Caenorhabditis elegans: one gene and its partner. The protein of the gene in region 1 purifies or fractionates together with the protein of each later gene. This does not show direct contact. Each region holds a gene or a part of one and is shown on either strand. Other genes may lie near its edges.

Region 1 (3,104 bases):
AAATTGCTCATACTTTGTGATAACCGACTTCATTTCCCATTTTGAGGCTAGATCCAGAACTTGTTCAACTGAAAATTCAAATGATTGTAGTTTTGTGGTTAATTGTAAACTTACCATTTTCCCGTTCCATTTTGAAAGGAGGATGAAGAAAGTTCATTAGTTTTTTCATTGAAACAAAGGATTCAAATGGCATTATAATTTCAGCTAACTTGTTGTTTTCCAGTTTTTGCTTAAGAATCGGGGAATTCAAAGCAAGTATCTAAAAGTAACTTATGTAACTGAAACACAACTCAATTTAACTTACTCCAGAATTGGCATATATCATTTTCTTTCCATCTTCAGATCGAATCAGGACATCCAACCACTTGCTCTTCTTTTCAAAATCAATGAAATCTTCGATTGCAATTCCAAAAGATGACTTTCGAGTAATTTTCAGTTTCACCTGATTGTATCTTCGATCAATAGATTTAATCATGATCGTATTAACATTTGGAGAGAACTCAATTTCGTTTTTGATGTTGATAACCTTCCCTTCCCCAGTAAACTGAAGGTCCATCTGAGCCAAGAATTTCCAACGAAACAGACTTTCCTTCTCACATCTTATTTCAAATTTTCCGTTAGCTGTGTTCAGAACCGTCCAGAATCCAGTCAAGTGGAGTCCAAGAATGTTACAAATGGGAATTTCAACTTCTTCCCCGACTTTTGAGTCTTCTGGAAGTTTCAAAAGCTTGCTCGCTGTCGGAATTTTCATCGTAATATCGTTCATTTTGATTTCTGAAAAATTTCCAGGGAAAACTATAACCCTTTAAAAGTTGAATTTACATGTGATACTTTTGATCCAAATCACTTTGTTTGTTGCCAGAAATATTGTGAAATACATTTTGTTAGAGTGAATTTCTTAAAACCACGATTTAAATTTTTCTTCCACGTATTTCATATGAATTTCACTTTTTTTCCAGTTCACGTTCTTTCACAAAATTACAGTTCAAATTTTCAAAAATCTTCGAATTCTTTCAACACACTTTCTCCGCAATCCATCAACATTCCATTTGTTTCCCTTTCTATTAATTTCCAAATTTCCGCCTGCTTTTCAAATTTCCATCGGAAATTCAATCAAAAAGACAATTGATACAAATCTCAAAGACCTAAAGCCCCGACTTCCATTTTGAATGAGGTCAATTTCTTTGATTGACAGAATTTTTTAAAATAAAAAGGGCTGAAGTGAGAGAATGAAAAATCGTTCAAATTTGGGTTAAGAAGGTCTCCTCTGTCCACTTTCATTTTCGAATCTATTCATCTCATTTGCATTTGTTTTCTTCCTCATTCGTACCGGTCTCCGGTATATTGTCTTGTGTTTTTTGATTCATTTCATGACTCATTTCAACATATTTTTTGTGAGAACCGTCGTTTCTGTCTATTCCTTAAGACACCCACAAAATAAACAAATAAACCATTTGGTTTCGTTCTTTTTTCCAACTTTTCTCTGTTCCTGTCCACTATTAACTTTCGAAGTCTCGACTTTCGTGTAGTCGATTCTGTCCGCAAAAGGAGTTAATCAAAGTTCCGCAAATAAATTTTCAGATTAAAATGTTTCCATTATTCTCTCTCTTTTTATCTCACTTTACCTCTAACTCTAAGTTTAGCTCGTTTTGTTTCTGTGACTCATTTCTTTTCTCTCCTCCTCCCACTCAGCTGTTTCATTCAAAATTTCCGAAAAAAGTTCAGTGATAAGTGATAGGCGTGCATGTCTTAACCATCATATAAATACTTCTATCTATTGACATTTCTTCGGTACTTTCTTCGAATTTGATTTTATTTTAGTTCCTCTGCAAAACCATCGTAATAATCATGCCAAACTGTCCAAATTGCCAAAAACCTGTATACTTCGGTAAGTTGTTTTTTCAAGTTATATGTCATGATAACTGTTTAATTGTTTCAGCTGAACGAGTTTCCTCTCTAGGAAAAGATTGGCACAGACCATGCTTGAAATGTGCAAATAAAGCATGCGGGAAAACATTAAGTGCTGGAAGTCATTCAGAGGTATGTTTTTAAAAGTTAACTTATAGTTTTTGGTTATGGTAGGAGTACTACCCAAAGTTCTTTATCGTTTTTTTCAATTCAATCTATTTTGATAAACAAAAAAAAAAGAGTTGAATTAGATTTTTAAAATTTTTGCTGTACTATTGAGTTGTGGGTTTTGAAAAAGTACTTGCCGACTTTCAATTTTCAGTTTTCAATCAACTTCAAAAAAAAGTTTCTAAAAAATTAAATAATTTTCAGCACGAGGGTAAACCTTATTGCAATCGTTGTTATGGCGCTCTTTTCGGACCAAAAGGATACGGTCACGGAGGAACTGAATCACACACTTTCCTTCAAGGAACTACTGGAAATTAAAATTCATAATTTCGTTTGCCTGTTTTCCAAAGATGCTTCAAGCTCACATTCATCGCCTACTACGACTTCATAATGTCAATTATCTGGCCTAGCAAACTTTTCAAAATAAAATATTTTTACTGCAAAATCAAAATTTTGAAACAATGATGAAAGAATGAATGAAGACGACATGTAAAGAGTCATTGTTGACTAGGTTTTTGGGTGAGAGAGAAGATGACATTTTTAATAAAAAAAGAATAATATCGGACACCCGATAGTTTCTCCATACGATATTTACAAAAAAATGAACTGTAGAAAGTGGTGAGCAAGAATTTTTAAGTTACAAAAAAAAGAGTTTTCAAATTATTTTTAAAGTTTACAAAAAGAGAAGGAAAAGAAAGATGGCAAAACTGAAAAAAAAGTTAATAAATATTTGGATCATCATACCAATGACGGCGTTGATCTGTTAGACCAGGAGTGTATGAGTAACGATTGAGAGCGCTGGACGTATCACGTGAGGTTGAACCTGAAAATCTATCAATTAAAATAATAGGGTTTCTGTGAAATAAAGCACCTGGATATTTTCTATATTGGGCAACATATGGCTCGCGAGTTGTGGAAACCGGATTTGAAGATGTGTAGTTTCTGAAATTAATGGAATCATAAGTAGATTGTTAAGGTAACTTTTGATCACAGTTTAATGAAGTAGTACAGTGCGTCCAACTTCTATA
Region 2 (7,801 bases), 9.0 Mb from region 1:
AAAAATGCCAGTGGCCGAACTTGAAAAACCTAGGCCACGCGGCGATTTAGTTGAATATTCTGGGTTATTTCAATTGAACTTTTAATTTTTTTGACAGTTTTGAATACAGTTTGAAAAAAGTGAAATTCCGTTGAAATTCTAGATCGTTTGGTTAAAGTCATTATTGAATTTTGTGGCCGAACTTGCAAAATCTAGGCCACGCGGTGATTTAATAGAGAATACTGAGATTTTCGAACGAATTATGATATTTTTGAATAAAAACTGTTGTAAACTTGTTAATTTGCATTATTGGGAAAATCTAACCATTTGTTTAAATTTAAATTCGGTGGCCGAACTTGCAAAACCTAGGCCACTGCTTGAAATCCTACCTTTGTATTTTAAATTTAAGCATTTCTCGTAAATAGCCTGTAATAAAAGTTTAATTCGACATTTTTTTACATAAAAGTCATGGCCGAGCTTGCAAAACCTAGGCCACGTGGTTTTTTCACTGGAAATTCCGATTTTTCTCTTTTTTTTTGTACAGATGAATGGAATTAAAATTAGCACATTTCCATTTTGTCCGTCAATGCTCCCGTGGCCGAATTTGCAAAACCTAGGCCACGTGGCCTAACTTGGAAATCCTAGGCTACGAAGTTTCTATTCAATATTGATGATTTTTCCCCAAAATTGCCAACAAAAATATCTTAAAAAGCAGCTAACAATTTATTGGAAATTTTTTTTTCAAAAAGAAAAAATGGTGAAAATGCGGAGAAAAAAAAAATTATGCCATAAAAAAGAGTGGAAATCTTAAAGCTGTTCTGATATTCCAGATTTGATTTTTTTTTTGGTAAAAACGGAGGAAAATGAGTAAAAATTGGGAAAAAAAAAGGAAAAATAACAGGGAAAACAATGAAAAATCGGGGGTTTTTTTGGTGGGGGGTAAAATTGAAAAATGAGAATTTTTGGGAAAAAACATTTTTTTTAAGGAACGAATAATTCAGTAATTTTTATTATTATAAATCGCCTCCAAAATCTGATTGGGAATATCCATCGATTGATCGTCCACGAGGACAATGTCAAAATAGTTGAGATATTTGTCGACGAGCTTGTCAGCCTGAAAAAATCAGAATTATTGGGGTTTTGTTTTCGATTGTACCAAGAAGTGGGGGCGAGTTATCGAAACCCCGCCCATTTCTTGGCGCGAAAATTCAAAATTTCTAGTTTTCACTAGTTCAGCACGATACGCCACGCCCATAAAATGGTTGTTTCCAGGGGTGGGCGGCAAACGATCTTTTTCCGGCGAATTGGCAAATTGCCTGAATTGAAAATTTCCGGCAAACCGGCAAGCCGGCAAATTGCCGAAAATTTTCGGCAAAATATGGTTTTGCACTAATTTTTTTTTGGGAATTTCAGAATTTCGATTTCAAAAGTGTTTACGAAAAAAATCAGAAAGGGGCGGAGCCTAACTGATCCAGACCACGCCCATAAAATGGTTGTTCTATCCAAAGTGGGCGTGTTCAAACAAGCCCCGCCCATTTAATGGCTGTTTTGCTCCGCCCATTAGAATTTTGCAAGGCGCGGTTCTAAATGGGAGGGGCTTGTTCGGACACGCCCACTTTGGCCAAAACAACCATGTTATGGGCGTGGCTTGGCTCCGTTAGGCTCCGTCCTTTTTCGAGTTTTTTTTTTCGTAAAATCTTCAAAAAAAAAAATTTCCTGCCAAGAAGTGGGCTGCCTCAAAGACACGCCCACTTGGAAACAAAAACCATTTTATGGGCGTGTTTTTCAGGCTCCGCCCTTTTCGGGGTTTTTCAGGAAAGTTTGAATTTTCGCGCCAAAAAGTAGGCGGGGCTTCTGAATTTTAATTTTTCAAGGAAACATTTGAAAAAGTGAGATTCACACGGGTTACTAGTTCTGATTCCATTGTCTTCGGGGAAAATTTTGCCATTATATGGGCGGAGCTTGCGAGAACACGCCCATTTCGGTGGAAACATCAATTCTATGGGCGGGGCATGTAAAAAACAAGCCCATTTTGGTGGAAACAACAATTTTGTGGGCGGGGCTGGTGAAAACACGCCCATTTTAGTGGAAACATCAATTTTGTGGGCGGGGCTTGTGAAAACACGCCCATTTTAGTGGAAACATCAATTTTATGGGCGGGGCTTGTGAAAACACGCCCATTTTAGTGGAAACATCAATTTTGTGGGCGGGGCTTGTGAAAACACGCCCATTTTAGTGGAAACATCAATTTTATGGGCGGGGCATGTAAAAAACACGCCCATTTTTGTGGAAACGTCAATTTTGTGGGCGGGGCATGTAAAAACACGCCCATTTTGGTGGAAACATCCATTTTATGGGCGGGGCATGTGAAAACACGCCCCTTTTGGTGGTGACATCAATTTTATGGACGGGGCTTGTGAAAAACACGCCCATTTTGGTGGAAACATCCATTTTATGGGCGGGGCATGTAAAAACACGCCCATTTTGGTGGTGACATCAATTTTATGGGCGGGGCATGTAAAAACACGCCCCTTTTGGTGGTGACATCAATTTTATGGGCGGGGCATGTAAAAACACGCCCATTTTGGTGGAAACATCAATTTTGTGGGCGGGACATGTAAAAACACGCCCATTTTGGTGGAAACATCAATTTTGTGGGCGGGGCATGTGAAAACACGCCCATTTCGGTGGAAACTTCCATTTCATGGGCGGGGCATGTAAAACACGCCCATTTTTATGGAAACATCCATTTTGTGGGCGGAGCGTGACATTCTGAGTTTTTTTTTTTTGGGAAAACATGTAAAAAAGCGAGAAAAAATACTGCGTCAACCGGATTTTTTCCGGGAAAAATGTGGAAAAATCGATTTTTTCTAGATTTTCCGTTGAAAAATGCTCCTCACATCATGATTAACAAATCCGATTTTGAGTGAAACTTGTTCCTCCTCAACACCAACATCCATAAAAGCGTCTCCAACACTATCACCCAACAGAATCACATTCTTCCTTCCCTCAATTTGCTCGGAAAACGTGCGATCCGCCGGCATAACCGATGAATTCTTGCAGAAAACATGGATCAGAGGATCGGAGAACGAGTTAACATATCCGTCGTCGTCGAATCCCATCATATTCGACACGACATGGGTGTTCGATTCGACTCGGCCGAATTTATGTCGGAGGTACATTTCGATGATTGTTCCGATTCCGGCGGAAAAAATGATGAATGGCACCGCGTGATTCGTCATCTTTTTCATCATTATGTCGGCGTTGTCTCTGGAAAAATAAATTTCGGAATTAAAAAAAAAATTTTTTTTTGGAAATTTTGTTTTTAATTTCACTGTAACTTTTTCCTCACGGGGGGCGAGGAAAAGTGGTTTCTAGGCCATGGCCAAGGGGCCGACAAGTTTCAGCGGCCATTTATCTTGCTTTGTTTTCCGCCTGTGTTCTTTTGTTTTTCATCGATTTTTTTCGTTTTTTCTTAATAAAACTGATAAATAAATATTTTTTGCAGATGCTAAAACAATTTCCAAGTTAAAAAATCATGTATTCAGTGGGCAAGCAGCGGTGAAAGTGGGCAATGTAATATGATGGATTACGGGAATACAAAACCTAAACTTTTTCTGAAACATGATACATATGATGCTTAAATGCTGAGACTACCTGATTTTCATAACGAGACCGCTGAAAAAGTTTTGAGGTTTCCAAAATTCAACTTTTTTGATAAAAAAGTCGAGATTTTCGCACAAAAAGTTGAATTTTGAAAACCTCAAAACTTTTTCAGCGGTCTCGTTATGAAAATCAGGTAGTCTCAGCATCTAAGCAGCATTTGTATCATGTTTCAGAAAAAGTTTAGGGTTTGTATTCCCGTAATCCATCATATTACATTGACCACTTCCACCGCTGCTTGCCCACTGAATACATGATTTTTTAACTTGGAAATTGTTTTAGCATCTGCAAAAAATATTATTTTCAGTTTTATTAAGAAAAAACAAAAAAAATTCGGTAAAAAACGAAAGAACACAGGCGGAAAACAAAGCAAGATAAATGGCCGCTGAAACTTGTCGGCCCCTTGGCCATGGCCTAGAAACCACTTTTCCTCGTCCCTCGTGAGGAAAAAGTTGCAGTGAATTTAAAAAAATGAAAATATTTATTTATTCAGACATTAAAATTTATAATTTTCTACTAAAAATATGAAAAATGACCAAAATTTTAGGTTTTTTTAATTGAAAAATCAATTTTTCTCAAAAATTGGCATCTTCTCTCGGAAAATTTGGTTTTTTTTTTGAAAAAAAATCGATTTTTTGTAGAAAATCAATTATTTCTTGCTGAAAAAATATTTTTTGGAAATTTTTATTTTTCTACTAAAATTATGAAAAATGGTCAAAATGTTAGGTTTTTGGGGTAAAATTTTATGGTCAAAATTTTAGGAAAATGGCCCGAATTTGAGGTTTTTTTGCTGAAAAAAAAATTTTTAATTGAAAAATCTCTTATTATTTCTCCTGGAAAATCAATTTTTTTTTTTGGAAAAATCGATTTTTTTTGTAGAAAATCAATTTTGCGGAAAAAATCAATAATTTTTTGCTGAAAAATTTTTTTTTTTAAGTTTTTTTTTTAATTTTTAATTTTTATAATTTTTTACTAAAAATGTGGAAACTGGCCTGATTTGAAGTTTTTTTCCGAAAAATTTTTTTCTGAAAAATAATTGATTAAAAATTTTTTCTACCAAAAATCGCCAATAAACCCCCCATTTTTCTCCTGTAAAAATTTCGGTGGCCGCGAAAAAACTTGTGGTGGCCGAATTTTTCCGCATTTCTCGGCCACGTAGCAGGTAAGCACACATGTTGCAGTACCTCAATTGAATATTACAATGTGCCACATAGTCATCAATAGCCTGTTTCTTGAATCCTCCTTGAATAATTAGTCCGTGAGATTGTTGCCACCTGCAAAGAATTGTGTGGATTTTTTAGTAATCCTAGCTAAATTTTGATTTAAAAATCGATTTTTTTAAACCAAAAAAGCCCAATTTTACAGTTATTTACCAAAAAAGCCCAATTTTACAGTTATTTTATCGATTTTTCACCAAAAATTTCCAAAAAGTATGAATTTTCATTCATTGGGATTGTTTTTTCTCAAAAAATTCGATTTTCAGTTGAGAAACGATCAATTTTAGAGTGAAAAGTTCGGTTTTTATACTTAAAAATCGAAAAATCAGTGCGTTTTCGAGTTGTTTTATCGATTTTTCACCGAAAAATACGAATTTTTCATGAAAATCTCAATTTTCAGTTATTTCTTCAATTTTTTTAGACTGAAAACCGTAATTTTTCGTCTAAATATGGATTTTTAAGCTGAAAATTTCATATTCAAGTAGTTATTTTCACTAAAAGCTCAATTTTCAGGTTTTTTCACGATTTTTCAAGTAAAAATCCCAGATTTTCACTTAAAAAACTAAAATTTTCACTAAAAATCTCAAATTTTCACTAAAAATCTCAAATTTTCACTAAAAATCTCAAATTTTCCATAAAAATCTTAAATTTTCACTAAAAATCTCAAATTTTCACTAAAAATCTCAAATTTTCACTAAAAATCTCAAATTTTCACTAAAAAACCCAGATTTTCGATATCCTACCATGCTTCCATAAACGGAACCTTCTCCTCAATGCTCAGAGAATGATCGTGCTCAATTGGACCATATTTATGATACAATCCGACAAATTTCCGACACCATTCCGGATTATTCGTTCCAACAGCACTATCGAATACACAATAGCACGATGAGCATCGATTGCCGGATTTATCGGCAAATCTGGACAGTGTAAAGTCGAAATCCGAAATGACCATCAGTTGATCTGCACCGCCCGAGACGATGTTTTGAAGCTTATCAGTTAGTGATTTAATGTCCTTAACGTGGACTTGTGGTAGGGAAAGGAGTTCGTCGAGTTTTAAGGAACCAACCATTTTTGGGGAGGAGCTGGAAAAAATTGGGGAGAATTTTCATACAAAATTGGAGTTTGGATAGCACTGCAACTTTTTCCTCACGAGGGACGAGGAAAAGTGGTTTCTAGGCCATGGCCGAGGGGCCGACAAGTTTCAGCGGCCATTTATCTTGCTTTGTTTTCCGCCTGTTTTCTTTCGTTTTTTAACCGAATTTTTTCGTTGTTTCTTAATAAAACTGATAAATAAATATTTTTTGCAGATGCTAAAACAATTTCCAAGTTAAAAAATTATGTATTCAGTGGGCAAGCAGCGGTGGAAGTGGTCAATGCAATATGATGGATTACGAAAATACAAAACCTAAACTTTTTCTGAAACATGATACATATGATGCTTAGATGCTGAAGCTACCTGATTTTCATAACGAGACCGCTGAAAAAGTTTTGTGGTTTTCAAAATTCAACTTTTTGTACGAAAATCTCGACTTTTTCACCAAAAAAGTTGAATTTTGGAAACCTCAAAACTTTTTCAGCGGTCTCGTTATGAAAATCAGGTAGTCTCAGCATTTAAGCATCATATGTATCATGTTTCAGAAAAAGTTTAGGTTTTGTATTCCCGTAATCCATCATATTACAATGCCCACTTTCACCGCTGCTTGCCCACTGAATACATGATTTTTTAACTTGGAAATTGTTTTAGCATCTGCAAAAAATATTTATTTATCAGTTTTATTAAGAAAAAACGAAAAAAATCGATGAAAAACGAAAGAAAACAGGCGGAAAACAAAGCAAGATAAATGGCCGCTGAAACTTGTCGGCCCCTCGGCCATGGCCTAGAAACCACTTTTCCTCGTCCCTCGTGAGGAAAAAGTTGCAGTGGATAGGAATTTTTTAAATGCGAAACGATTTTAAAAAAAGTTTATAGAAAATAACATAAATTCCGAGTTTCAGACAGCATTTTTTTGTACAAATTAATTGAAAACGACGTTTTATATATTTTTAAGGAAGCTACATAAAAGTATATCAACAGGGGTGTTAGGCAAACGATATTTTCCGGCAAATGGGCAAATTACCAGCAATTGGCCGCTGTTTGCCGTCCACCCCTGATATACAGTAGTTTAAAGCTACGTTCAAAAAAGCGTGGCGAGACCCACATACATCATATTTATCGTAGAATTTGGCAAAAAAATCTTATAACTGAATCCATACTATTAAAATTTATTTATCGATCCTTGAATTTTGCAAAAAAAAGTTTGTCGCACAGAAAGTGGGGGGCGGAGCGTAGCTTCGCAACACTGCCGCACAGGTTTTTCCTCCGCCCCTTTTACACTGCTTTTTTTATGGATTTTTCCAATAGTTTCAATTTTGCCTGTATTTTTCTCTTTTTTCGGATGAAAATGTTATCCAATTCGAAAAAAGATGAAAAATTAGTAAAATCGCAACTTTATTGAAAAAATCAATTTAAACAAAAAAACTGTGAAAAAGAGGCGGAGGAAAACCCCGTGCGGCAGTGTTGCGTTTTTAAAAAAAATTTTTCGCAAAATTCAAGGATCGATAAATAAGAATTTTAATAGTAGATTTGAAAATCCGAAAAAATAAATTCTAAAGCGTCAATATTTTCTCTAGGTCAGTCGCAACTATTCAACAAGCGTGAAAAATTCGATTATTATCCCCGACTCGTGGAAAATGGACACAGTAAAGGGAGGGAGGTATCATTGAAACAATCACGTGGTGTCAGGCTGTCTCATTGCGGGTTGATCTACGAAAAATGCGGGAATATTTTTCCAGAAAAATTGTGACGTCAGCACGCTCTTAACCATGCGAAAAGAGATGAGATGTATGCGTCTCTTTTCTTGCATTTTTCGAAGATCAAAACGAAATGGGACTTTCTGACT

What was found.
Region 2: the proteins of valv-1 (region 1) and Y10G11A.1 fractionate together in Caenorhabditis elegans (co-fractionation; one large-scale study listed by BioGRID). This does not show direct contact.

Annotation. Positions count from the first base shown.
Region 1 is NC_003282.8:7,444,052-7,447,155, reverse strand, and holds valv-1 (Cysteine-rich protein 1), read left to right. Parts: upstream 1-1,819; 5' UTR 1,820-1,848; coding exon 1,849-1,888; intron 1,889-1,939; coding exon 1,940-2,040; intron 2,041-2,280; coding exon 2,281-2,394; 3' UTR 2,395-2,517; downstream 2,518-3,104. Other genes in the region: B0496.1 (BTB domain-containing protein), read right to left, coding at 1-68, 115-259, 305-766; unc-82 (Protein kinase domain-containing protein), read right to left, coding at 2,796-2,899, 2,948-3,018.
Region 2 is NC_003282.8:16,422,780-16,430,580, reverse strand, and holds Y10G11A.1 (5'-nucleotidase), read right to left. Parts: upstream 5,945-7,801; 5' UTR 5,932-5,944; coding exon 5,603-5,931; intron 4,918-5,602; exon of another isoform or gene 4,917-4,917; coding exon 4,827-4,916; intron 3,250-4,826; coding exon 2,880-3,249; intron 1,853-2,879; exon of another isoform or gene 1,727-1,852; intron 1,094-1,726; coding exon 977-1,093; 3' UTR 686-976; downstream 1-685.